Ovis aries: one gene and its partners. The protein of the gene in region 1 interacts with the protein of each later gene in a pairwise test. Links are inferred from orthologs where the notes say so. Each region holds a gene or a part of one and is shown in the gene's direction. Other genes may lie near its edges. The genes, in order: ARHGEF11, PLXNB3, PLXNB1 and PLXNB2.

What was found.
Region 2: the proteins of ARHGEF11 (region 1) and PLXNB3 interact in a two-hybrid assay, tested with the Homo sapiens proteins (2 studies listed by BioGRID and IntAct). The link is inferred for Ovis aries from reciprocal best matches to the Homo sapiens genes ARHGEF11 and PLXNB3.
Region 3: the proteins of ARHGEF11 (region 1) and PLXNB1 interact in a two-hybrid assay, tested with the Homo sapiens proteins (2 studies listed by BioGRID). The link is inferred for Ovis aries from reciprocal best matches to the Homo sapiens genes ARHGEF11 and PLXNB1.
Region 4: the proteins of ARHGEF11 (region 1) and PLXNB2 interact in a two-hybrid assay, tested with the Homo sapiens proteins (2 studies listed by BioGRID). The link is inferred for Ovis aries from reciprocal best matches to the Homo sapiens genes ARHGEF11 and PLXNB2.

The regions. Positions count from the first base shown.
Region 1 is NC_056054.1:106,872,426-106,878,092, reverse strand, and holds part of ARHGEF11 (rho guanine nucleotide exchange factor 11), read left to right. Parts: intron 1-291; coding exon 292-367; intron 368-675; coding exon 676-843; intron 844-1,550; coding exon 1,551-1,641; intron 1,642-2,406; coding exon 2,407-2,532; intron 2,533-2,947; coding exon 2,948-3,009; intron 3,010-3,894; coding exon 3,895-4,113; intron 4,114-4,472; coding exon 4,473-4,835; intron 4,836-5,667. UniProt on the Homo sapiens protein: May play a role in the regulation of RhoA GTPase by guanine nucleotide-binding alpha-12 (GNA12) and alpha-13 (GNA13). Acts as guanine nucleotide exchange factor (GEF) for RhoA GTPase and may act as GTPase-activating protein (GAP) for GNA12 and GNA13.
Region 2 is NC_056080.1:80,505,468-80,510,246, reverse strand, and holds part of PLXNB3 (plexin-B3), read left to right. Parts: intron 1-44; coding exon 45-237; intron 238-332; coding exon 333-575; intron 576-666; coding exon 667-822; intron 823-909; coding exon 910-1,061; intron 1,062-1,204; coding exon 1,205-1,305; intron 1,306-1,394; coding exon 1,395-1,618; intron 1,619-1,763; coding exon 1,764-1,942; intron 1,943-2,113; coding exon 2,114-2,180; intron 2,181-2,430; coding exon 2,431-2,758; intron 2,759-2,865; coding exon 2,866-2,969; intron 2,970-3,058; coding exon 3,059-3,155; intron 3,156-3,382; coding exon 3,383-3,561; intron 3,562-3,702; coding exon 3,703-3,863; intron 3,864-4,103; coding exon 4,104-4,251; intron 4,252-4,391; coding exon 4,392-4,456; intron 4,457-4,525; coding exon 4,526-4,601; intron 4,602-4,678; coding exon 4,679-4,753; intron 4,754-4,779. UniProt on the Homo sapiens protein: Receptor for SEMA5A that plays a role in axon guidance, invasive growth and cell migration. Stimulates neurite outgrowth and mediates Ca(2+)/Mg(2+)-dependent cell aggregation.
Region 3 is NC_056072.1:51,486,469-51,491,368, forward strand, and holds part of PLXNB1 (plexin-B1), read left to right. Parts: intron 1-39; coding exon 40-187; intron 188-2,431; coding exon 2,432-2,496; intron 2,497-2,638; coding exon 2,639-2,714; intron 2,715-3,722; coding exon 3,723-3,797; intron 3,798-4,900. UniProt on the Homo sapiens protein: Receptor for SEMA4D. Plays a role in GABAergic synapse development. Mediates SEMA4A- and SEMA4D-dependent inhibitory synapse development. Plays a role in RHOA activation and subsequent changes of the actin cytoskeleton.
Region 4 is NC_056056.1:225,585,132-225,591,411, reverse strand, and holds the start of PLXNB2 (plexin-B2), read left to right. Parts: upstream 1-2,425; 5' UTR 2,426-2,518; intron 2,519-6,280.

The DNA.
Region 1 (5,667 bases):
TAACAGTGAAGGCCGTGTGGGAGGAAATAAAGCTGAAGGCACGGGCAGGACCCCCTTAGGAGGATCAGCAGCGTGGGGTAGGGGGTAGGGAGACCCCCGCCAGGGCCACCAGTGTATCCCCCGGCACAGCACGTGGCCCGTGACCTTGCAGTTGCCTTTTTACTTGTCTGCATCCCCCACAAGAGCGTGAGGGCAAGGGACTAGTTCTTGTTCACACCACCGATGCCCAGCACCTTAGCATAGAGTCTAGGTTTTCAGATGCTTGTTGAATGAATGGTGTCTCTTTAACAGAGTTTGGATCTTACAACCAGAAAGATGATCCACGAGGGGCCTCTGACCTGGAGGATCAGCAAGGATAAGACCTTGGGTAAGCGCCAGGGGCCTGGGGCCAAGAGGGAATCTAGGGCATCACCCGTGCTCTTCCTCTCTGGATCATCAGCCCTGTACCTGGCGCTCTTAAGGTAGCTGGGAGGCAGCTCCAAACACCACTGGGGTTGAGAGCTCAGGGCACCTGGAGCACAGCATGGGGAGGGAGGACCAAAACCTAAGCAGGTCACCAGACTCCAGGGCTTCGCAGACCCTGAGGACGACCATCCAGGAGCCTCTGGTGTCCCAGGTGTTGGTGAGGGCGGAGCAGGTGGCGGGGAACCCCTCACCAGCACCGCCCTCCTCCAGACCTCCACGTGCTGCTGCTGGAGGACCTCCTGGTGCTGCTGCAGAAACAGGACGAGAAGCTGCTGCTCAAGTGCCACAGCAAGATGGCCGTGGGCTCCTCAGACAGCAAGCAGACCTTCAGCCCCGTGCTCAAGCTCAACGCTGTGCTCGTCCGCTCGGTGGCCACAGGTACCCACAAGGAGACGGCCCCAGCTGGCCCAGGCCCCAGGCCATGAGCCCTGGTACTCACGTCCAGTGAGCGCTGGGTGATGAGCCTACTGGCCTGCCTGTGTGGCTTTCCTTCTACCCTGACTCATCTAAGCAGGAAGATGTGGTTCAGTACGGGGTAGGATGGGGATGAAGGTGGACAGCCTGGCGCAGGCAGGATGGGATGTGAGCACCGAGGGTGGCCTGAGGATGAGGAAGCAGAACTGGGCAGAGACGAGTAGGACATGCCTTCCTGCTGCAGGAGGGACAGGCAGAGTTCACACCCACAGGCCAGAGCCCAGCCCCGTGCTCGGAGCATGTTAGTGGGAAGCGGAGCATGTACAAGAAGGGCTCTGGGCTCACTTTCCTCAGCTGTGGCGTGGGGAGTGATGCAATGCCTGTCTCTTGGGGGAGGTGGAAAGGGAGGATGGGTGTGATGTGGTTTTATAACCCTCAGCCCTCACCGTGAGGAAAGCGGGAGGCAGCGACTGTGAAAGTGGCATTAGAGGAACCAGAATGGCCTCTGCCCTTCTGTAAGTGGAACCCAATGACCTAGGTTCAGCTAGCGCTGCATTCTCCATCCGGTTGAGGGTCAGGGTTTCAAGTCCACACTTTGTCAGCCGACCCAGGCTGCAGTCATGCCTCTGCCGCCCCCAGTACAGACCCTTCTGCTTCTGTCTTCCGCACAGATAAACGGGCCTTCTTCATCATCTGTACCTCTGAGTTGGGCCCACCTCAGATCTACGAGCTGGTGGCTTTGACATCATCAGACAAGAACACGTGAGGATTGCTGGGAAGCGGGGCAGTCCCGCGTAACTGCCATCCCCGTGGGACCAGGGCGGTGTGTGAGGACTTGGACAGTGAGACCAGGACTGGGCCCAGAGTGGTTAGAGGATGGGGCCTTGACACAGAAGAGGGAGATAAGACAGACGCAGAGAGGCTTTTGGGATCGCCATCCCTGACCCCATGAGCGGCCTGTCCGAGGAAGGAGGCGCCACCAGCGGTCTTCCAGCCAGCCCGCTGCGCCTCTCCTTCCTCTGGCCCTCTCCCTTCCCTTGGGTGGTTCTTCTCTTTCTCTATCAAGTGTTTTAAATGCCCGCATTCTTCAGAGGTGTTTGCCTCCAAAACTCTCATCTCCACCCCACGGCATCCACCCGCCCGTGTTCCCGACAGTAGCCAGCCTCAGTAGTAGCCTGTCTGACCCAGAGGCCAGAGACAGCTTGGGCCAGACAGTTTCTCGGGGCGTTCATCTGTGACTGCGGATGGCGCTGCCTCTTGGGAGTTACATTGAGCGAGAACAGAATGCAGAGCGCAGAGCCTAACAGTGTTGGTGTTCAGCAGTTGGTAGCTGCGAGTAACATAGACCCGCCCCAAGTGGGGCAGCCAGTCAGAACTGCACGGGCGGCGGCCCCCCCACTGGGCAGAGGGTCCTCAGGGCAGGTTCTGGCAAAGGGCCTCGCAGCTCTGACTCGGGGTTGGTGGGGGAGACGCTGCTCCTCTGTCCTCTTGTCGCCACCAGACCTCTCTTTTCCTGCCGAGCAACAGGTGGATGGAGCTCTTAGAAGAGGCTGTTCGGAATGCCACCAGGCTCCCCGGAGCTGCCCCGACACCCATCCACCCCCCGCCCCCAGGCCCCCAGGAGCCAGCCGACCGGAGCCCCACACCCAGCAGGTACGCAGCCCTCCAGGCCCGCTCACCATCCCCACTCCAGGCCACTCGTGCTGCTTCTGAGCACTTCCTCCCTGGGCTGGACAGCCTCAGCTGCCAGGTGTTAGCGGGCAGGCGGAGTAAGGCACGCCTGCACCTCCACCTTCTGTCCCTGCCTGGCCTTCCCCGCACTGCCCTGCTCAGACTGTGCCTGAATTGTGGGGGTGGGGGGCAGAAGGCACCCACCCTGCTCTCCAGGTTGCTCACCAGACAGCAGGTCTGAAATCTAAGCCACTGCGTTCCTGGGCCCTGCTCCTGCATTGCCCCGTGAACTCAGGCGGCCAGAGTGGAATTTCATGACGTGGCCACCTCCCAGCTGGCAGAGAGCCAGAGCTCCAGGCAGGCAGGCCCCTCTCACCTTGGCGGTTTCTCCCTGCAGGGCAGGACCAGATGACTCCGAGGTGTTCCGTGGTGAAGCGGAGCCTGAGGCAGCCCCAGGAGGTAAGTCCCTGAGCTGTCTCTGTGGGGGCCCGATCCAGCTCACTCTCTGTAGGCACAGGTAAGGAGGTGGCTGGGGTGGTGGGAGAGAGCTATAAAGGGCCATAAGAACAGAGAAAAGCAGAAGGAGGAAGGAGGGCTGGAAGAGGAAAGAACAGGCTCAACTGAACAGAGCTTCCCCCTGAGGAGGAAGAGGGGGCAGTCGGGTAGAGTCTGGCGGCTCCTGATGGAGAACGGGATGCTCTTAGAGATGGGCTGGCACGGGAATCCTGCGGGTGGGGGTGGGGAGTGGCGCTCAGAGGGCTGAAGATACAGTCAGTAGGATGGGGTCGACAGGGGCTCGAGGGTCCCCAGCAGAACTCTTGTTGAGTTTTTAGTGTGAAGTGACTTACCGCCTCAAGTTCAGAGAGGACTCTCCATGAGCAGGCCCCCTGGCTGGGTCTGTGTTCGCTTTCCTTCCGCTGGAATGCCTCTCTTAACTCCCGCCCCACTTCAAGTCTTTGGGCAGATAGATCGTCAGCTTTGCACCTAGTGCCTTTGTTGACCACTCGGCTTAATACCAGCGTTCCTGATCTCCCATACCCCCGCGTGTGGTTTTTTCTTTCCTATCGCACTTCTTAGCTAATTCATGTAGTTAATTTACTTATTTTCTTTTTCTCTGTGTTCGTCAATTAGAATTTAAGTTCCACAGGGCAGGGACCTCTGTTTTTTTCTGCTGATGTGTGCCAGGAGCCTGGGACGGTGCCTGGCCATGATTGAGGCTCAGTAAACACTGTGGAATGAATCAGGCAGTGTTCCTAGCCCCTTGAACCCGAAGCTGGACCTGGGATCAGCCTGTACATGCCCTCCCTCTTTCCTGGCTTTACACTGTCCTCCCATCCGAAACAGGCATGGGGTGCCCGCAGAGGGTCCAAGGGAAGCACTCGGCCCTGCTGGCAGATGCTGAGCAGGAGGGCAGCGTGGAGGAAGAGGAGCTGGGGGCGCTGCCTCACTCTTCTGCCTCGCTGGACAGCGAGCCCAGGGGAAGCAGGACGAGGGACCCCATCCTCCTGCCCCTCCCAGGCCCTCTGTTCATGGAAGGACTCGCCGACGCAGCCCTGGAGGACGGTGAGTGCCTCCTGGCCCTGGCTGTCAGCCCACAGTGCCCCAGCAGCTTGGCCAGCGTCAACAGGCCCGTACCCCACTCGGCCTGCTCAGAGGCTCGCCCTGAGTTGTGCTCGAGGAGAGAAGGATGCAGAGAGACCGTTGTTGTTCCTGTCCCCCCGCCCCAGCCTTCAGCCCGCCCCCCAGCTGGTTGGCCAAGGTCCCCCAGCTCCACCCTGTGACTGCAGAGGCAGTGTCACTCGGGGGTGGGGGGGGTGGGCAGGGAAGGGAGCAGCAGCCCCCCGCCTCCTCTGCACCCACCCCCGCCATGGCCAGGTGTGCGGTCCTGTGTCCAGGAAGCCGTCCCCCCGTTTCCCCTCCAGTGGAGAACCTGCGGCACCTGATCCTGTGGAGCCTGCTGCCTGGTCACCCCACGGACCCACGAGCTGCTGGGGAGCCCGAGGACGACCTGACCCCTACACCCTCCATCAACAGCATCACTTCGCACCCCTGGGACCCAGGCTCCCCAGGGCGAGCTCCTACTGGGGCTGAAGGGGACAAGGCCCCACTCTCGGGGCCAGAGTGGAGCCAGCCAGGGCAGGAGGACATGGCTTTGCGTTCTCTGGAACAACTGCCCCCAAGGACCAGGAATTCTGGGATCTGGGAATCTTCCGAGCTAGACAAGAATCCGGAGGAAGAAGCTTCAAGCACAGAGGGCACAGGAAGTTACAAAGTTGTAAGAAAAGGTAAAGTAAGTTGGGGTGTCCCCTGGGGGGGCACATGGCCAGCTTTGCTAGGGGAGCATTGAGTCTTCCAGCTGGCTGCTTCCCGCGCCCCTGTCTGGAAGCCCTGTGTGCAGAGGTTTGTCCTGATCCTGGGCAAGATGACACGCTGACATCGTGAAAAGGCTTTGGGGTCAGACAGCCAAGGTGCAGAGTCCTGGCTCCGTTACTTAATACCCCTGTGACCCTGGGAGAAATTCTAAAGCCCCTCTGGACTTCATTCATTATGAGGATATCACTGTGGCACAAGTCAGAGGGCTCCAGCTGGTAGCTTTAGAGAGCAGCAAGGAAGCGCTGATGTGTGAGGCAGAGGCAGGGTGGGTCTGGAGGCAGAGCCAAGAGGAGGGGCTGCAGGACAAGGCTGGGGAGCCGTGTGAGACTGGGGGCTCTGGTGAAATGAGCAGGGAGCTAGGCGGCCCTGGTTTTAAGACGGGAAAAGCCAGGACTGGCTGGGACGGGGGTCGGGGCAGGTTCGTCTGGCCAGAGCTCAGAGGACAGAGGGAAGAGTCAGCTGAGGAGAGGGCAGCCTGGTCTGAGGAGTGCAGCAGGGGAGGAAGTGAAGCGCAGGGTGCTCTTGAGGGGTGGGGGGCGTCCACACCAGTGCCAGGGTGTCTGCTTTCCTCCCCCAGTGCCCAGCTCTGCCTCCTTTTCCAGGAGCATTTTTCTCTCCACCTGCCCGAGGCCTACGCTCTTTCCTGGGTTTCTGGGACCTGGCCTTCCTTTTCTCTCCTCTGGTGAATTGGTGAATTGGTGGAGCGGTTCTCTGTGGCTCCGCGGGGTATAATCATGTGTGATC
Region 2 (4,779 bases), on another chromosome or scaffold:
GGGGCCAGGCTGCCCGGGCCACGCTGAGTCCTGTCCTGGCGCAGGGGTGGGCGGCTGATCCGAGTCAGGGGCACGGGCCTGGACGTGGTACAGCAGCCCCTGCTGTCCGTGTGGCTGGAGATCTCGGAGAGGGCTGCTGTGAAGCTGCAGTCCCAGGACCCGACCCCAAGGAGCAGCTGCGAGGCTCCAGCTGCAGCCCCCCAGGCCTGTACCCAGCTGGAGCGGGGCTGGCTGCAGGTGAGCCTGCAGCGGCAGGCGAGGCTGTGCCCAGCAAGGGATCGGGGCAGGCTGGGAGCCCCCAGCTCACCTCACCTCGGCCTGCCCCCTCACAGTGCTCCAGCGTGTGCTCCATCAACTCATCCACCCTCCTCCTCTGCCGGAGCCCCGCGGTGCCTGACACGGCGAGCCCCCGGCGGGTCTTCTTCAGCCTGGACAACGTGCATGTGGACTTTGCCAGCGCCAGTGGGGGCCAGGACTTCCTGTACCAGCCCAACCCTCGGCTGGCCCCCCTCCATCACGAGGGGGGGTCCACCCGCCCCTACCGCCTCAAGCCAGGCCACATTCTGGATGTGGAGGTCAGGGTTTCAGCCAGCAGTCCTGGGGGACAGGGGGGACCTGCAGACACAGGCTGAGTGACTCCACTCAGGCCCGTGATCGGCCTCCCAGGGCGAGGGCCTCAACCTGGCCATCAGCAAGGAGGAAGTGCGCGTGCACATTGGCGACAGCGAGTGCCTGGTGAAGACGCTGACGCTCACCCACCTGTACTGTGAGCCGCCCCCGCAGGTCCCACAGCCCAGCAATGGCACCTTGCTGCAGTTCGTGGTGAGGCTGGGACCCCAGGCACAGTCGTGGGCGGCCAGAGCCATCAGAGCCAGTGCTCAGGAATCCTGTGCCTCCCACCACCCCCAGGTGCAAATGGGCAACGTGCGCCTGGTACTGGGCCCGGTCCAGTATGAGGCAGAACCCGTGCTGTCTGCCTTCCCCGTGGAGGCCCAGGTGGGCCTAGGCGTGGGTGCAGCCCTGCTGATCACTGCCGTGCTCCTCCTGACCCTCATGTACAGGTGAGGATCACACACACGCCAGTGTCCAGTCCAGTCCCCTCTTCACTTATGGCAAAGGTGCCCCACAGCCGGCCATCTGGGCTTGGGGGTCTCGGCCCAGGCAGGCCAGCTTGTGTGGCTGACACTCGGTCCCCCGGTGGCAGGCACAAGAGCAAGCAAGCCATGCGGGACTACCAGAAGGTTCTGATGCAGCTGGAAAACCTGGAGATTGGCGTGGGTGACCAGTGCCGCAAGGAGTTCACAGGTGGGGCAGGGGTGGGAGGGCAGGCGCGGGTAGCGGGACACAGGCAGAGCTGCTCCCGAGCTCAGACCCCGGTGGCTCCCGGCCTGCAGACCTGATGACAGAGATGACTGACCTCAGCAGCGACCTGGAGGCCAGCGGGATCCCCTTTGTGGACTATCGCACCTATGCTGAGCGGGTCCTCTTCCCTGGGCGCAACAGTGGCACCCTGCAGCCGGCCGTCGAGGGGCCGGGTGAAGAGGGTCGCCGGGCACCCGTGCACCAGGGCCTCATGCAGCTCTCCAACCTGCTCAACAGCAAGCTCTTCCTCTTGACCGTGAGGGCCACGTGGGCAGGCTGGAGGCGGGCCTGGGGTGAAGAGGGAGGCTGGGTGGTCGGCAGGCATAGGCTACATGGTGGGAGGCCACGTGGGCTGCCGGGCTCCCCAGAGTGAGCGCTGGTGCCCCCCAACTCCCGCTTAGCTCATCCACACCCTGGAGGGGCAACCCAGCTTCTCGCAGCGGGACCGCTGCCATGTGGCCTCGCTGCTGTCCCTGGCACTGCACAGCAAGCTCGAGTACCTGACCGAGATCATGAGGACGCTGCTCAGTGACCTGGCCTCCCATTACGTGCGCAAGAACCCCAAGCTCATGCTGCGCAGGTTGGCCCTGGACGGCTCTGGGCAGGGTGGCCCCGGGGAGCCCCAGGTGGCCAGCTGGGTCCCGAGCCACTGGTAGGGCCAGTCAGCCCTGCCTGACCTCCACCACTGGCCTTGGGTGGGGGACAAGATGACCCTGCGCAGCCCCTCTGACCTGGGGCCCGCTCCACGCAGGACGGAGACCATGGCGGAGAAGCTGCTCACCAACTGGGTGTCTATATGCCTGTACGCCTTCCTGAGGGTGAGGGCCCCTCTCCCCTCACCCCATGCCAGGGCTGCTGCCTCGGGCCTCCCTGACCTGTGGCCCGATCCCTCCCAGGGGACCTCGGGCACAAGGGCAGGGTGTCGGTAAGGGACAGGTGGTGAGCCTTTGCCCTGGCCCCGTGCAAAGCTGAGCCCGCTGGCATGGACCACCCTCTGCCCTGGCTCCACACAGCCAGCTGCCCCTATGAGCTTACGCAGCCAGCTGATCCCCAGATTGATGCTTGCAGGAGGTGGCCGGTGAACCAATGTACATGCTCCTCCGGGCCATCCAGTACCAGGTGGACAAGGGCCCCGTGGACGCAGTGACAGGCAAGGCAAAACGGACCCTGAACGACAGCCGCCTGCTGCGGGAGGATGTGGAATTCCGGGCCCTGACGCTGATGGTGCTGGCCAGCCCGGGGCCAGGCGGGCCATCAAGGAGCAACACGGCACTGCACATCCCCACCCGGGTGCTTGACACGGACACGATCACTCAGGTCAAGGAGAAGGTGTTGGATCAGATCTACAAGGGCACCCCGTTCTCCCAGAGGCCCTCGGCGCACGCCCTGGATCTCGGTGAATGCCCGCCCCTGGCTCTCCCCGCCCCTGGCAGCTCGGCTCTGCCCAGCAGGAACAGGCTGTGGGCTCACTGGCTCCCCCGGGTCCCCACCCTGCACCCCTAGAGTGGCGCTCGGGCCTGGCAGGTCACCTCACCCTGTCAGATGAGGACGTGACATCAGTGACTCAGAACCGCTGGAAGAGACTCAACACCCTGCAGCACTACAAGGTGCCCGGTGGGTGGGGTCTGGGGAGGCAGGACCCCCACCTCGGGCTTGGCAAGGGAAGGAGCCCAGCCTTTGCCCCCCTCCCCGCCAGGTCCCAGACGGAGCCACAGTGAGGCTCATCCCCCAGCTACACAACGGAGGAGGCATCATCTCCCAGAGCCTGGCCCCCAGCTGCCCTTCAGGGGAGAGTGAGTGAGGCTCTCAGGAGCTCGAGGCCATGCCATCGGCCCTATCTGGGTCTCCCAACACCTCGTCAGTGGGGAAGCCAAGACTCCCTACTGGACCCAGGCCGGCGGGTGGATGAGGGTGGTGGTGCGTCACCATCAGGGAGCTCCTGGGTGCGAGCTGGAGCACCCCGGCTGGTGGCATGGGTGCAGGGGGGCCAAGGACTGAGGCCCAGCTTCTGCGCCCTCAGACACCCCCATGCTGGAGGATAGCGAGGAGGGTGGGGTCCGTCTGTGGCACCTGGTGAAAGCCCCCGAGGAGCCGGAGGCAGCCAAGGCACGGCGGAGCAGCCTGAGGGACCGGGAGCGGGAGCGGGCACGGGCCAAGGCCATCCCGGAGATCTACCTCACCCGCCTGCTGTCCATGAAGGTGGGGCTCCTCTCCTGGGGAGGCTCAGCAAAGGGCACCTGGACAGACCTGGGGAGATGCTGTGGGACAATGGGGCTGGCCACAGCTCGAAGGGCCTCCCACCTCGACCCCCCCAAAAGTGCCCCATCCCCTGCCTTCTAGGGCACACTGCAGAAGTTTGTGGATGACGCCTTCCAAGCCATCCTCAGCGTGAACCGGCCCGTGCCCATCGCCGTCAAGTACCTGTTTGACTTCCTGGATGAGCTGGCGGAGAAGCACAGCATTGAGGACCCGGAGACCTTGCACATCTGGAAGACGAACAGGTGTGTCACCTGCTGGCCTGGACCCGGGCAGATGAGTCCCAGATACACCAGGACACTGCCAGCGCAGCCAGGACAGGAGCCCAGGCCTGGGGGCCATCACCTTGGGTGACCAATCGTGCCCGCCCCCCTCCCCACCCCGATATGGCCAGCTCCCCAGGCAGCTCAGGGCCACCAGGGTCCAGGTGGAGGTGCTGAGCTGGACTGGCCGGGCCTCACTCCATGGCTGGCCTGTGTCTCCAGCCTGTTGCTGCGGTTCTGGGTGAACACCTTGAAGAACCCGCAGCTCATCTTTGACGTGCGGGTGTCAGACAACGTGGATGCGGTCCTCGCCGTCATCGCCCAGACCTTCATGGACTCCTGCACAGTCTCAGAGCATAAAGTGGGCCGGGTGAGGGCCGAGGAGGGCAGGCCGGGGGGGGAGGGTAGCCACAGGGGCTCTGCGCTGAGCCCTGGGTGGGGCTGGCTCCCCACAGGGCATGGGGCCAGGAGAGGGCACCTCCCCGCTCATGCCCACCCCGCCCGGAGCAGGATTCCCCAGTGAACAAACTGCTCTACGCCCGGGAGATCCCTCGCTACAAGCAGATGGTAGAGAGGTAGGTGTTGGGCATCATGGACGAGGGACCTCCTGGGCTGCCTGCCCCTAACTCTGTGCCCTTCTGCAGATATTACTCTGATATCCGCCAGAGCCCTCCAGCGAGCTACCAGGAGATGAACTCAGCTCTGACTGAGCTCTCAGGGGTGAGGACACAGGGGAAGGGGGAAGCTGGGGGCTCAAGGTCTGGGCCGGGGCCTCACCCACCATGTGCCTCCCCCAGAATTATACCTCGGCTCCCCACTGCCTGCAAGCTCTGCAAGAACTCTACACCCACATCCACAGGTACTATGACCAGGTGAGACCTGGGGGTGCTCCGGGGAG
Region 3 (4,900 bases), on another chromosome or scaffold:
TCATCGGCCACTCCCATCCCTCCATCCCACCCCTTGCAGCTTGCCCCTGAGGTTCTGGATCAACATAATCAAAAACCCGCAGTTCGTGTTTGACGTGCAGACATCCGATAATATGGATGCGGTGCTCCTGGTCATCGCCCAGACCTTCATGGACGCCTGCACCCTGGCTGACCACAAGTTGGGCCGGGTGAGCCAGTTGGGGTGGGCCGGGAGGGTGTGGGGGGGGGGGGGGGCGGCCTGGCCAGGGGTAGACTGTGCTGTGTGCACTCAGAAATTCCCATCTTTCTGGAGGATGTCAGGGAGGAGGATATGGGAGGCCTTTGACCTTAGCCCCGGGCCGGGCTTTGTCCCTGGGCTCCCTGGGAGGTGGCCGTGCTCCAGCCTTGTGATGTAACAAGGACCGGGGCCACATGTGCCGATTCGCAACGTCAAGACAAGGCAGCAGGTGCTGGTGAGTGTGGCAGGAGGCCAGGGCCACTTGGCAAGGGCTCACCCTGAGTGTGATGGGGAGCCACTGAGGGCCTGGGGACAGGGGTGGGGGGTCAGACCCCTGGTGGTCGCCAGCGGATGGACTGGAGCCTGGTGTCCAGAGCAGAAGCTATGCTGTCCCTGGGACGAGCAGTGGCCGTGTTCAAGCTGGAACAAGAGGGTACAGGGCAGGCAGGAGCTGTGGGTTGGATGTTGGGGATGAGGAAAAGGGAGGGGTGTCTTCTGACCCCTGGGCCTCTGGCTATTGTGAGCTCAGACTTGGAGGAGGGGCTGCCAGGTGGTCTCTAGGCAGAGACGTGGATTCTGTAAATGCTGAGCATCTCCAGGCTGCCTGGGGGGCTGGATTCCAAGGGCAGCAGAGGAGGTTTCCACCAGCCAGGGCAGTACAAGGGGGAGAGTCCAGGGAGGGCCAGGCAAGCAGGGATGTGCGGATAGGGGAGTGGGAAGCACAGAGGGGGAGCTGACCTGGTGGCACAGAGGGTGCAGGTCAGTTGTCACAGGGGTCAGAACCCAGAGAGTCCGAGACTGATATCGGGTCCCCACTGGGACTGCACAGGTACCCAGCGGGGAGGACCCTCGTGGCTCCTCAGGCCTGTGATCGGGCTCCGCTTAGCCTGGTCCCCTGGGCCACAGTTGGCCTGGGACCTCTGAGAGGTCTGTGCCTAGCCCTGTGAAAAGAAATGAGATGGAAGGTTCCAATGCACAGAGCTGTCTCTTGGGAGCCAGTTTTTGGTCTGTGAACTCCCATCACTCTGCCCATGATGAGCTGAGACCCACAGGGCCACACCGGGACCCAGGGGTCCCCTCCAGGGTGTGTGCTCTCCGGTGTCCGGGTTCTGATGTCTGATCTTCACACAGCCCCCGCTTCCTGGCAGTACTGCAGGTGCTTCCTGGGTGAGTCAGGAATGGGGCAAACCAGGATCCTGAGGGCACCCCTGCGGAGAGCGGCTGAGAAGCAGGCATCTGGTCTCAGACCCTGGCCCTCGGCGGGCAGTGCAGTCTCGCCCCACCCTCCCTGCAGCTGTAGGATGAGGCAGCAGGTCCCGAGAACGGAAGTGCTGTCTGCAGCCACCGGGACAGGACTGGGACTGGAGCCCAGTGCGGTGGTAGAGGATGTGTCTGGTCCTGTTAGACTGTGGGCCCTGATCGGAGAGAGACCTGCTTCAAATCCCAGCTCAGCCATGCGCGAGTGAGATGGTCTGGGGCAATGTAATTGAATTTCCGGGTTAGTTTCCTGAGTTTTAAGATGAGTCCGTGGAGAATGGACAGCACGTGGAGAAGCAGTGTTAGGGCTCCACGCGGCTCGCCAGTTCCCTGCCGGGTCTGGGTGGAGGCACGTGGAGCTGAGAGATGACCTTGGAGAGAGAGGGGGAGACGTTCAAGGTGATGACGGCGGAGGTGGGACAGTGGGGAGGGGTGACGGAAGGAAGGAGCTGGGGTGGCCAACCGTCCGGCTTACCTGGGACTGAGGAGGTTTCCTGTGATTCAGGACTTAGTTTTCTTTTGATTTGTGTTCACTGTATTTATTTGTGCTGGGTCTTCCTCGCCGTGCAGGCTTTTCCCTAGTTGCAGTGAGTAGGGTGCGGGGTGGGGGCCTCTCATCACGGTGGCTTCTCTGGGTGTGGAGCACGGGCTCTAGGGCGCCTGGCTTCAGAGTTGCAGCACGTGATCTCAGTAGTTGCGGCTCCTGGGCTCTCGAGCACAGCCTCAGGAGTGGTGGCGCAGGGGCTTCGTTGCCCCGAGGCCTGTGGCATCTTCCCGGATCAGGGATGGAACCCGCGTCTCCTGCACTGGCAGGCCAGAGTCCTTACCACTGAGCCGCCAGGGAAGGCTGAGGACTGAGTTTTAAAACTGAAGCAGTGCTGGGGACGGTGGGACAGCTGGTCACCCTAACAGGGCCCTCATCCTTCCTTTCTTTTGCTGCTCGCCTGCTGGCCCCCAGGACTCCCCCATCAACAAACTTCTGTATGCCCGCGATATTCCCCGGTACAAACGGATGGTGGAAAGGTACGAGGGGAAGGAGTTGGGTCTGGAAGATAACCAGTGGATGGATGGGTGGGTGTTTACAGCAGAGGCCCCCGGGGTGGGCCTGGTGGGGTGAGGAAGGGTTTGTTTCCCTAGTGACTTTTGGACCCATAATCTCTGGTAGGTACTATGCAGACATCAGACAGACCATCCCTGCCAGTGATCAAGAAATGAACTCCATCCTGGCCGAGCTGTCTCGGGTACGGCCCTCCTTCTGCTCCTTGGGTTGGGCACAGGCCTTCTGCCCCAAGGGTCCTGCCTGCTTCACACTGCTCCTTTACAAGGAAGTCCTGGGGCCTCCGAAGAGTGTTCCCGCTGCCTCCGTAAAATACCAGGGCTCCCAGCATCTCATCAGAGAGCAGCAGGGTCTTGTGCCGGCAGCTACCACCTGACCGGACTCAGCTGGGTGTTAAGATGTTTGCAGCCCTTCAGGGTTTGTGACCACGGTTCCCAGGCAGCGAGGAGGCGGGGGTTGAACCCCAGGACCGTCTAGCCCAGCCTGTCCACATCCTACTGCTCTGCTTCCTGGGCAGTGTAGACCTGCCTCTGCCTACTCCTAAAAGAGCCCCCAAACACACACCCCGGGGAACTTACGAACAATGTTAAATCTGAAACCGAGGTGATGAAGATCACAACCACAGAACAAATAGCAGCTGCAGCTGGGCGTGTTGCTGTGGGTGGGGTGCTTTGATTCCCTCTCACTGCACTCGTAGAAGAGCTCTACAAGTTAGGAGACCTCGACTCCATCGTCCTGAAGAGGAGGCTGAGGCTCAGAGAGGTCCCCAGGGAGGGGCCCGGGTGTGACCTGAGGGGACAGGCTCGAGTGAGATCGGAGCAGAGCAGGGCTGGGTCACAGGCTGTGAGCAGTGTCCATCCTGCTGGGCTCTGCGGTCCCCTGGGGTGACAGAGGGTCCCAGCTGGAGCCTGGAGGGGGAGAGAGGCAGGGCCCCAGTGGAGACCCCAGGGCCTGGGAAACTGCAGAGCAGGGGTCTCTCCACCCAGGAGGCCCTTTTTGGCTCTATCCTGTGCCCAGCTGAGCCTGGCAGCCCCTCATCGAGAGAGGGGCTCCACTTCCCCAACACCAGGCTCTGCTCCTTCCTCTGCCTCCCGAGCCCTCTCCCCCACTCCCCGTCCCTGGGGTCCTGGGCTTCCTCTAGGGGCCGGCAGCACCCCTTAGCTCTAAAACCTCTTGTCTCTCCTCCTCCTAGAACTACTCTGGAGACCTGGGGGCTCGAGTGGCCCTGCATGAGCTCTACAAGTATATCAACAAATACTATGACCAGGTGAGCAGAACCTGGGCGTGGTCAGAATGGTGTGAGCGGGTGACTGGCTCCGTGTCTCCCCCAGGCACAGAGTGGTGGGCTCGGGCAGTGTTTGTTCTTGCCGTGCGCTTCCTGGTATCGGCGTGACTCTTACCTGCTACCACCCTCCCCATCCAGGGCCCTTGGCAGGGCTCCTGGGCCTGGTGGTGGGGGTGGCGGGGGGTCCAGCAGGGCCTGGAGATGGCGTGCAGGACGTGCTGGGTGCCACGTTGGCCCCAGCCGTGCGCTGACGGAGTCACTCCCTCTCCCTGACTCCCCCATGACTATAAAATGAGTTCACATACCCTCCAAGGTTGAAAAATCCAACTGATGGACCACTCACTTAGTTCAGGCTTCCTTGGTGACTCAGACAGTAAAGAATCTGGCTGCAATGCAGGAGACCTGGGTTCGATCCCTGGATTGGGAAGATCCCTTGGAGAAGGGAATGGCTCCAGCATTCTTGCTGGAGAATCCCATGGACAGAGGAGCCTGGCGGGCTACAGTCCATGGGGTCGCAAAAAGTTGGCCATGACAGAGACCAGAACTGATGGACTTGTTCTCGCTCAGACCCCTATCTGAGGCCTCACGTGGCTGTGTGCAGTGTAGGCCATCTCTGTGGGCCTGGGCCTGGCTGGGCTGCAGGTACAGACAGAGAAGAGGGTCCAGATGTAGGGTCTGGGGCAGGTGAGGGCACGATGGAGCCAGTGAGGGGGCTTTGGGGGGATTCTGGGCTAGGCTTCAGGATCAGAGCGTCCATCAGTCTGCTGACGGATGCAGCGGCCTGCTGAGTGCCCGCTGGAATCATTTGCCCAGACGTCTGCGTGGCCCCAGGGATGTGGCCGTTGCTGTTGAGAGATGAGGACCTGTCTCCTGGCCCAGGCCTGGAGTAGAGACAGGCAGTGAGCAAAGGCGTGGTGTGCAAGTGTGACTTCCGGGTGCCGCGGCCTTGTGTGGGAGAGACGGGCCTGTGTCACGCTCCCCCCATGGAGGCGTGGCCAGCAAGCCCTCCTGTCCCTGCCCCCGCACCGTCCGCGTTTGGTCAGTAGCTGTCTCCCCTCCAACGAGCCCACGACACCAGGGACATC
Region 4 (6,280 bases), on another chromosome or scaffold:
CCATCTGCTCCTGCAGGCAGAAGAGGGTCTTGGACTCTAGCTGAATCCGGCCCCTGCAGCTAGAGCCCTCCAGAGTTTCAGGGCCCCAGGCTCCTTGGCAAGGACTGAAAGGCCCCCGAAGTGGCCCACGTGCCCGTGGGACACCTTGGAGCACTGGACCCAGGCCCGGCCAGAACTGTCAGCTGCACCCCAGGGGAGCTTGCTCAGCCGGAGGTGGGTGGGGCGGAGTGAGGCTTGGACCCAGAGCTGCAGGCCTTCGGGAGGTCCCAGCGAAACGGCCCCGGAGACTGCACCTGAGAGGCCCCCAGGGCCTTGGCGGGCAGCACAGGTGCAAGCGGGGGGCCTCCTGTCTCCTCTGGAGCCCCCCAGGCCGGGCCGCACCACCACTGCTCCCCAGCGGGGGGGTTGCCCCCAGATGGCGGCAGCACTGGCCTCGGGACCACCAGTGTCGGCTCGTCCACCCTGAGCGCCGCCTCCGGTGGCCTGGCGTGTGGCTGCAGGCAGAGGAGAGTGAGGCCTTCGAGAGAGGGGGACCTCGTGGACCCCCCCGCAGCCTGCCCGATCTGGGACAGGGCTGCCAGGTGCAGGGTGCCCCGCCGCCACTGCAGCATGTTGCCCGTTCTCCTCCCTCTGTTTTCGGAGGGTCACGGGCCTGTGCTGGAGGGCAGCCTCGCTCATGATCCTTCCAGGGCTGGGCTGCAAGGGGGTGCCAGGGTGTCCTCAACCACCCAGACTTCTGCCTCCAGCAGTGCCGGCGGCGGGCACCGCCAGAAGCCCCTGGATGCCGGCGCCCTCCCTCTAGCACCACTTGAGTCCGCGCTGCGGGCACTCACAGCAGCTTGTTCCCCTGGTGGGGGGTGCGGGGGAGGGCCGCCTGGCAGGGTGGGCATCACTGCCCAGGGTGGACTCCAACACTGGCAGCCTCTGGGCACAGCACAGCCTGGCATGGAGTCCTGCCAGCTCCATCCTACCCCCTATCAAAGCTCCCTGGTTCTCTCGAAGGATCAGGTCAGCCCTGGCTGGGACAGTGAGGAGGGAGGAAAGGTCAGGAGAGTCAAAGGAGGCCGGCGCCCCACCGACCAGAGCTCTGTGCACAGCAGGGCCTGGATGGGCAGGAAGCAGTGGTCCCCGGGGGCTCCGCGGTCAGCCAGTGTGGGAGGCCGCTTTCTTCGGGAGGTTGTGTGTGGGTCTGGAGTGGTGGCCGGGGATGGGCGTGGGACAGTGGGCTGATCCAGGGGCAGGAAGGACAGTCGTCACCCCCAAGCTTCCTGCACGCTATTTAAAGCCTCGCTTTTAGTCTGGGATGGGGGCCTTCCCACATCTTTGGTATTAAAGTGTCTTTCTGTGACACATGCTTGTCTTCCAACTTCCTCTTTGGATGAAAAGTTGGCATTCCTATGAGGTTCTGGTAACTTGAGGGCTCTCTTGGTGGGGCGTGGATGGGCCTTGGTGTGGATGGTTCAGGGCTGGAAGGGTGAAGGTGTGGCCTTGCTGGTTGGGAGCATGTCACAGAAAGAAGTCATGGGGGGCCCTCTCCAACAGCTTCATCCTAGTGGGGGGTTTTGAGCACGGAGCAGGCCCCTCCCAGGGTGCAGGAAGCCGGCTGTCTGCAGGCAAGGGGAAGCTGGATGGCAGCTCCCCCAGAAAGGGAGGGGGCCCACATGTGGGAGTCAGGGTTAGGCTGGGAAATGGCCTCACACTCCCCTGGGTCCCCAGCAGCTGCTCACCGCACCAGGGCTTGTGATCAGAGAGGGTCCATGAGGGAGCGGGAGGACACAGGAGAGCTGACCTCCTGGGGCGGGGGGCTCCCCACCTCTGCTCAAGTTGGGTGGGAAGCGGCCAGGGGCATCAGGATCAGGAGGGATGGGGCCGGAGTGGCCAAACGTGGGGCAAGCTCTTGACTGGAACTGGACTCCCCAGGGAGGGGCCGTGTCTGGCCTCCCACCTCTGAGCACTGAAGGCCAGTCGATGGATCCTGGGTTCGAGCTAGCGGGGAGGGTGGCTGGAAGCCAAGGACCCCTCTTCCCCCAAGGAGGTGTGGGGACAAAGCCCTGCAGGCCCCAGCCCTGCAAAGGACCGCTGTGACCGGCCTGTTCCCAGTCTGTTCCCCAGTCTGAGGGTTGGGGCAGGGGTTTCGGGCACTCCTCCAGAGCCCAGATTTGGGTTCCGAGGCTGAGCCTGAATCAGGCCAAACCTCCCAGGCGCCAGGCGGAGTCCACCCACTGAAGTCGCTGGGCGTCGGGGGCGCAGGGGGCCATGTAGGAAGCGCGGGGGCGCGCGGGGTGCGCCCCGCCCGGCGGCCCTCCCCCTCCCCTCCCCCTCTCCCTCCCTCTCCCAGCGAGCCCTCCCTTCCCCCTCCCTCCCCTCCCCCTCCCCCGCCGGGGGCGGGGCCGCTGCTCCCGCGCGCTCCGGCCCCTCCTCGGCCACACAAAGGCCCGTCTCCATGGCAGCCGCGCGGGCCACAGCGCTGCGCCGATCGCGGCCCGGGCGCCATCGAGCCTCCGCAGCAAACGAGCAGGTACGGGGACGGGGCCCCGCTCCCGCGGACGGTCGGGCCGGGGGCGGGCTTCATCGTCAGCGCCGCTTGGCCCTGGCCTGCGGCGCTCGGGACGCGGGGACCCGGGAGGCAGCCGCCCCGCGGAGGGCGACCCGGGCCTCGGCTGCTGTCGGTCCGTCCGGGCAGCCGGCGCAGGGCCCCTCCCGCCTCGCGCTCTTCCAGGCGGTGGGCGAGGCTCGCGGCGCCAGTGGTGGCCCGGCCGAGGGTCGCAAGCGGGGCGCCGCGCCCTCTCCCGCCGCCCGCGCCCCTCCGGAGACGCTGTGGTTCCCGACCCTCCGTACTCTTGCCCCCCAGCCCTCTGGCCACCGAGATCCGTGCACAAGGCGGAGGTCGGCCCTAGCCCTGCAAGAGTCCCGGGCCTGCGCCCACCCAGCCTCGTTCCGGGGTGGCCGAGCCGGAGCTCTCCCGAGGGGCTGGGCCCGCGGTCAGACCTTAGCGGCTCCCACACCCCCAGGCCTGGTGAGGAGGGCATGAGCCAGGGCCACCCTGGGCGCCCCTGTCTGCACCTGCCTGGGTGGAAGGCGGGTGCAGGTTCCGGGCTGGGAGGAGGACGGCCTGGCACCGGGCGAGTCCTGGCGGCCCGGCCGCTTCACTGCGCGGCTGGCTCCCGCGGTTCCGGTGCTTGTTGTCTGAGGTTTGGGTGCACACTCTGGGACCCAGAAAGTCTCTGTACTCACTGCCCGGACCCTGCCCCTCTGTGTGCCTCCGCCTGCGGGAAGCCCTCCTAGATGGGCCTTTCCCACCATTCTGTGCTCAGGTTGCTTGTAAGATTTGAGGAGGGTCCTTGAGCTCAAGGGCTTCAGAGCTTCCTGCCACGTCACTGGGCTCCTCTTCCCAGCCAGCTTGGAGAAAGGAAGGTCTCAATGGGCCCTGGGGCTGTGGCGGGGGGTCAGGACTGGGGGTGAAGCTCGATGGGAGAACAAGGCCCCCAGAGGCGGGGGCTCAGCCGGACCCCATACCTGGACGTCACCCTGGCATAGAGCGGGGAGCCCCAGAGTTGGGCAGCTGGGGCAGGGGCTGTCGGTCCTCTGCCCTGAGGAGAGGGTCCCTAGGAGGGCACGGTCAGCATCGGCCTGGCCGAGCCGCGGAGTATGTTTTGTGGCGTGTCAGCTTTTAGGAATTCTCGGAGAAGATTGAAAGCAAGCAGGTGCTCTCAGCAGATCTGAGCTCGGCACCTCTTCCCAGCACACCTATCGGTGGCCCACTTTCATCCGAGCGTGGGGGGAGGCTTGAGGTCTGGCCTGGGGCTCCTCGCCCCAAGAGAGGAGGGAAGTTGCAGAGAAAAACAAGGGTTTGGAATTCAAGTCCCCCCTCCCCCGCCGGCTGCCTGCCAAGAAGGAATTATTTTGGATTATCCAGCCGTGTCCAGTCACCCAAGGGGGAGGCTGCAGCCGTGGGAGAGAGATCCACTTCCGGGGCCATGGGTTGAGAGCCCCAGGAGGGAGGGACAGGCAAGTCTGGGCAGCTCCAGCACCTTCCTCGGCTGCTCAGCCGGTCAGGGGCGGGGTGGGAGGGCCTGGAGAACGCCCCAGCAGGCCCGTCGAGCCAGCCTGGGGTGCGCCCGGGTTCTCTGGGGGAGGCCTTGGGCCAGGAGGGATCCTGGACCTCTGGTCTCAGGGCCCCAGGGCAGCCACCCCGCCCAGAGACCCCCCTTCACCTCTGGAGGGCTCAGCACCATGGCCCCAGGCCCTGTGAGGCTGCCTCCTGCGCTGGGTCCAGGGACACACCTTGGGCTTGTTACTCACACCTGGCGGTGTGCGGTGTGTCCCAGGGTGGCGGGGCAGGCAGGGGCGGGACCTGGGCTGCCTGGAGTGGGTGGGGCGCTGGGGTTCCCCAGGGCTGAATCTGAGACCATTCTCCCGCCTCCTGACTGGCCCACTAACGAGGCACCCTTGGCTGAAGCCCCTCCGACCGCCCGGCCCCCACCTCCACGTCCCCACCTGTCAGTCCGTCCCACCGGCGAGGGGTTCCCCAGGGAAGGGGCCCCGCGAGGAGCTGTCTGGGCTGCTACCCGTCACGTGACCTGTGGGGTCCCTGCGGGCTTGCCTGCAGCCGCACCCCCAGCGGCCCCTGGAGAGTCCGCACTGGGAGGCGAAGCGAGGAGCTGGGCTGGAGGGCCGCAGCCCAGGGGCCTGGCCGCAGCCCAGGCGAGTGGAGCAGAAGAGATTGGATTGGAAGGCTGGCGGGGGGCAGTGGCGGCAGCCTGGGGCGGTTCCATATGGCATATGCCCCTCTGCCCCCGGGACAGCTTGGTTACAGGCTGTGAGCCATCCCGGGACCTGGGCCGTTCCCAGAGCATCGTGCTCTCTTCCCTGCCTTGGGCTCACATCGCAGGGGCCGAGCTGGTGGTGCCTGGGAACGCTGGGCGTGGGACCGGCTGTCGCTTCGGCACCTCCCCACGGGGCCCCTGGTCTGGTCTGGGCAGATCCGTGCTGCGATGCCAGGCCCTCTGTCCCGGGGCTGTCCTGTGAGGAGGAAGTTGTCATTCACGTCAGGTCTCAGGCCTTTTTGCTGCAGCAACAGGCACAGCCCCCTGCCTTGGCTTCCTGGATGGGGGGTAGGGTTTTCCTCTTTGCTGAGACCCTCTTGTGTCCAGAGCCTGCTCTGGTGTGGGAAGCAGTCCTGGGCGGAGAGGAGCGATCAGACCTGTCGAAAGCTGAACCCGGCTGGTCTTCCAGCCTCGACCCGGCTCACTGAGGTGGGCGCAGTTTCACGGGGACCAGTCTCTGGTTCTTGTGGGGGCTGGACAAGTCCCTCCCCCTGAGGCTAATGGCTATTTGTGTTTGGGGCCTTTAAACGTCTTTGGTTTCAAATTACAGGACAGACTGGGCTGCTGGTGGCCCATAATTGGTGGGGGGCACCGCGCTGTGGAGGGCTGGGGGGGCACTCCGTTTCCCTCTTCTGCCCCTGCCGCATGTGGCCCCTTCATGGTTTTTCCCTTCCCTGGTTTCATATCCTCTTGTGGGTTTCTGCTTCCCTCTGTCCCGGAGGCTTTGAGGGCCTCGGTCCCCCAGCTGACCAGGCAGGAGCCCTGCCCTCTCCTGGGCTCCCCCCCCCCCCCGCCAGACCAGGGCACAGCTGCTCGTCTGAAGGGCAGGGCAGGGCCCGCTGGCCTGCCTGCAGTGCCGAGCCCGGGGCGCCAGGACTCTGCTGGCCTCCGTGATATTCACACGCCCATACAGTGGCGGGACCCAGACCCTCAGGGGCAGCCCGGAGCGACCGTGCGCACGCCCGCAGCTCTGCCCCTCTGGTCCCTGGGAGGAGCCCAGGGCTGCCCCCTCCCCTGGCGCTGGGGCCCTGTTCCTGCCCTCGGGGCCTCTCTGGAGCCCCTCTGCAGCTCCGTGCAGCCTCTCTCGGAGACCGGCTCCCCCATCACTGGCAACTCTCCACCCTGTGGGCTGGCTGTGCTGGGCAGAGGAGGTGTGGTCCTGGGGTGGGGCGGGGCACCTGGGAGAGGGCTCGGCCTGGGGCCCACGTCCTTAGCCCCTGAGATCACGAGACCTCTAAAATGGGGCGCATCCTGGTGCTAGATGAGTCTGGGCCTGGGCACGCAGGGACCGAGTGAGGCCTTTGGGTGTCACCCAGGTGCTGACCCTGGTGCTGGCATCAGCCCTGCCCAGGACTTGACTCTTCTGGGTGTGGAGACAAGGCCGCTCGGCGCAGGTGGCCAGCAGTTCCCCTGGGGGTGCGGGAGGAGGGGCACTGCGATGAGCTCAGATCTCT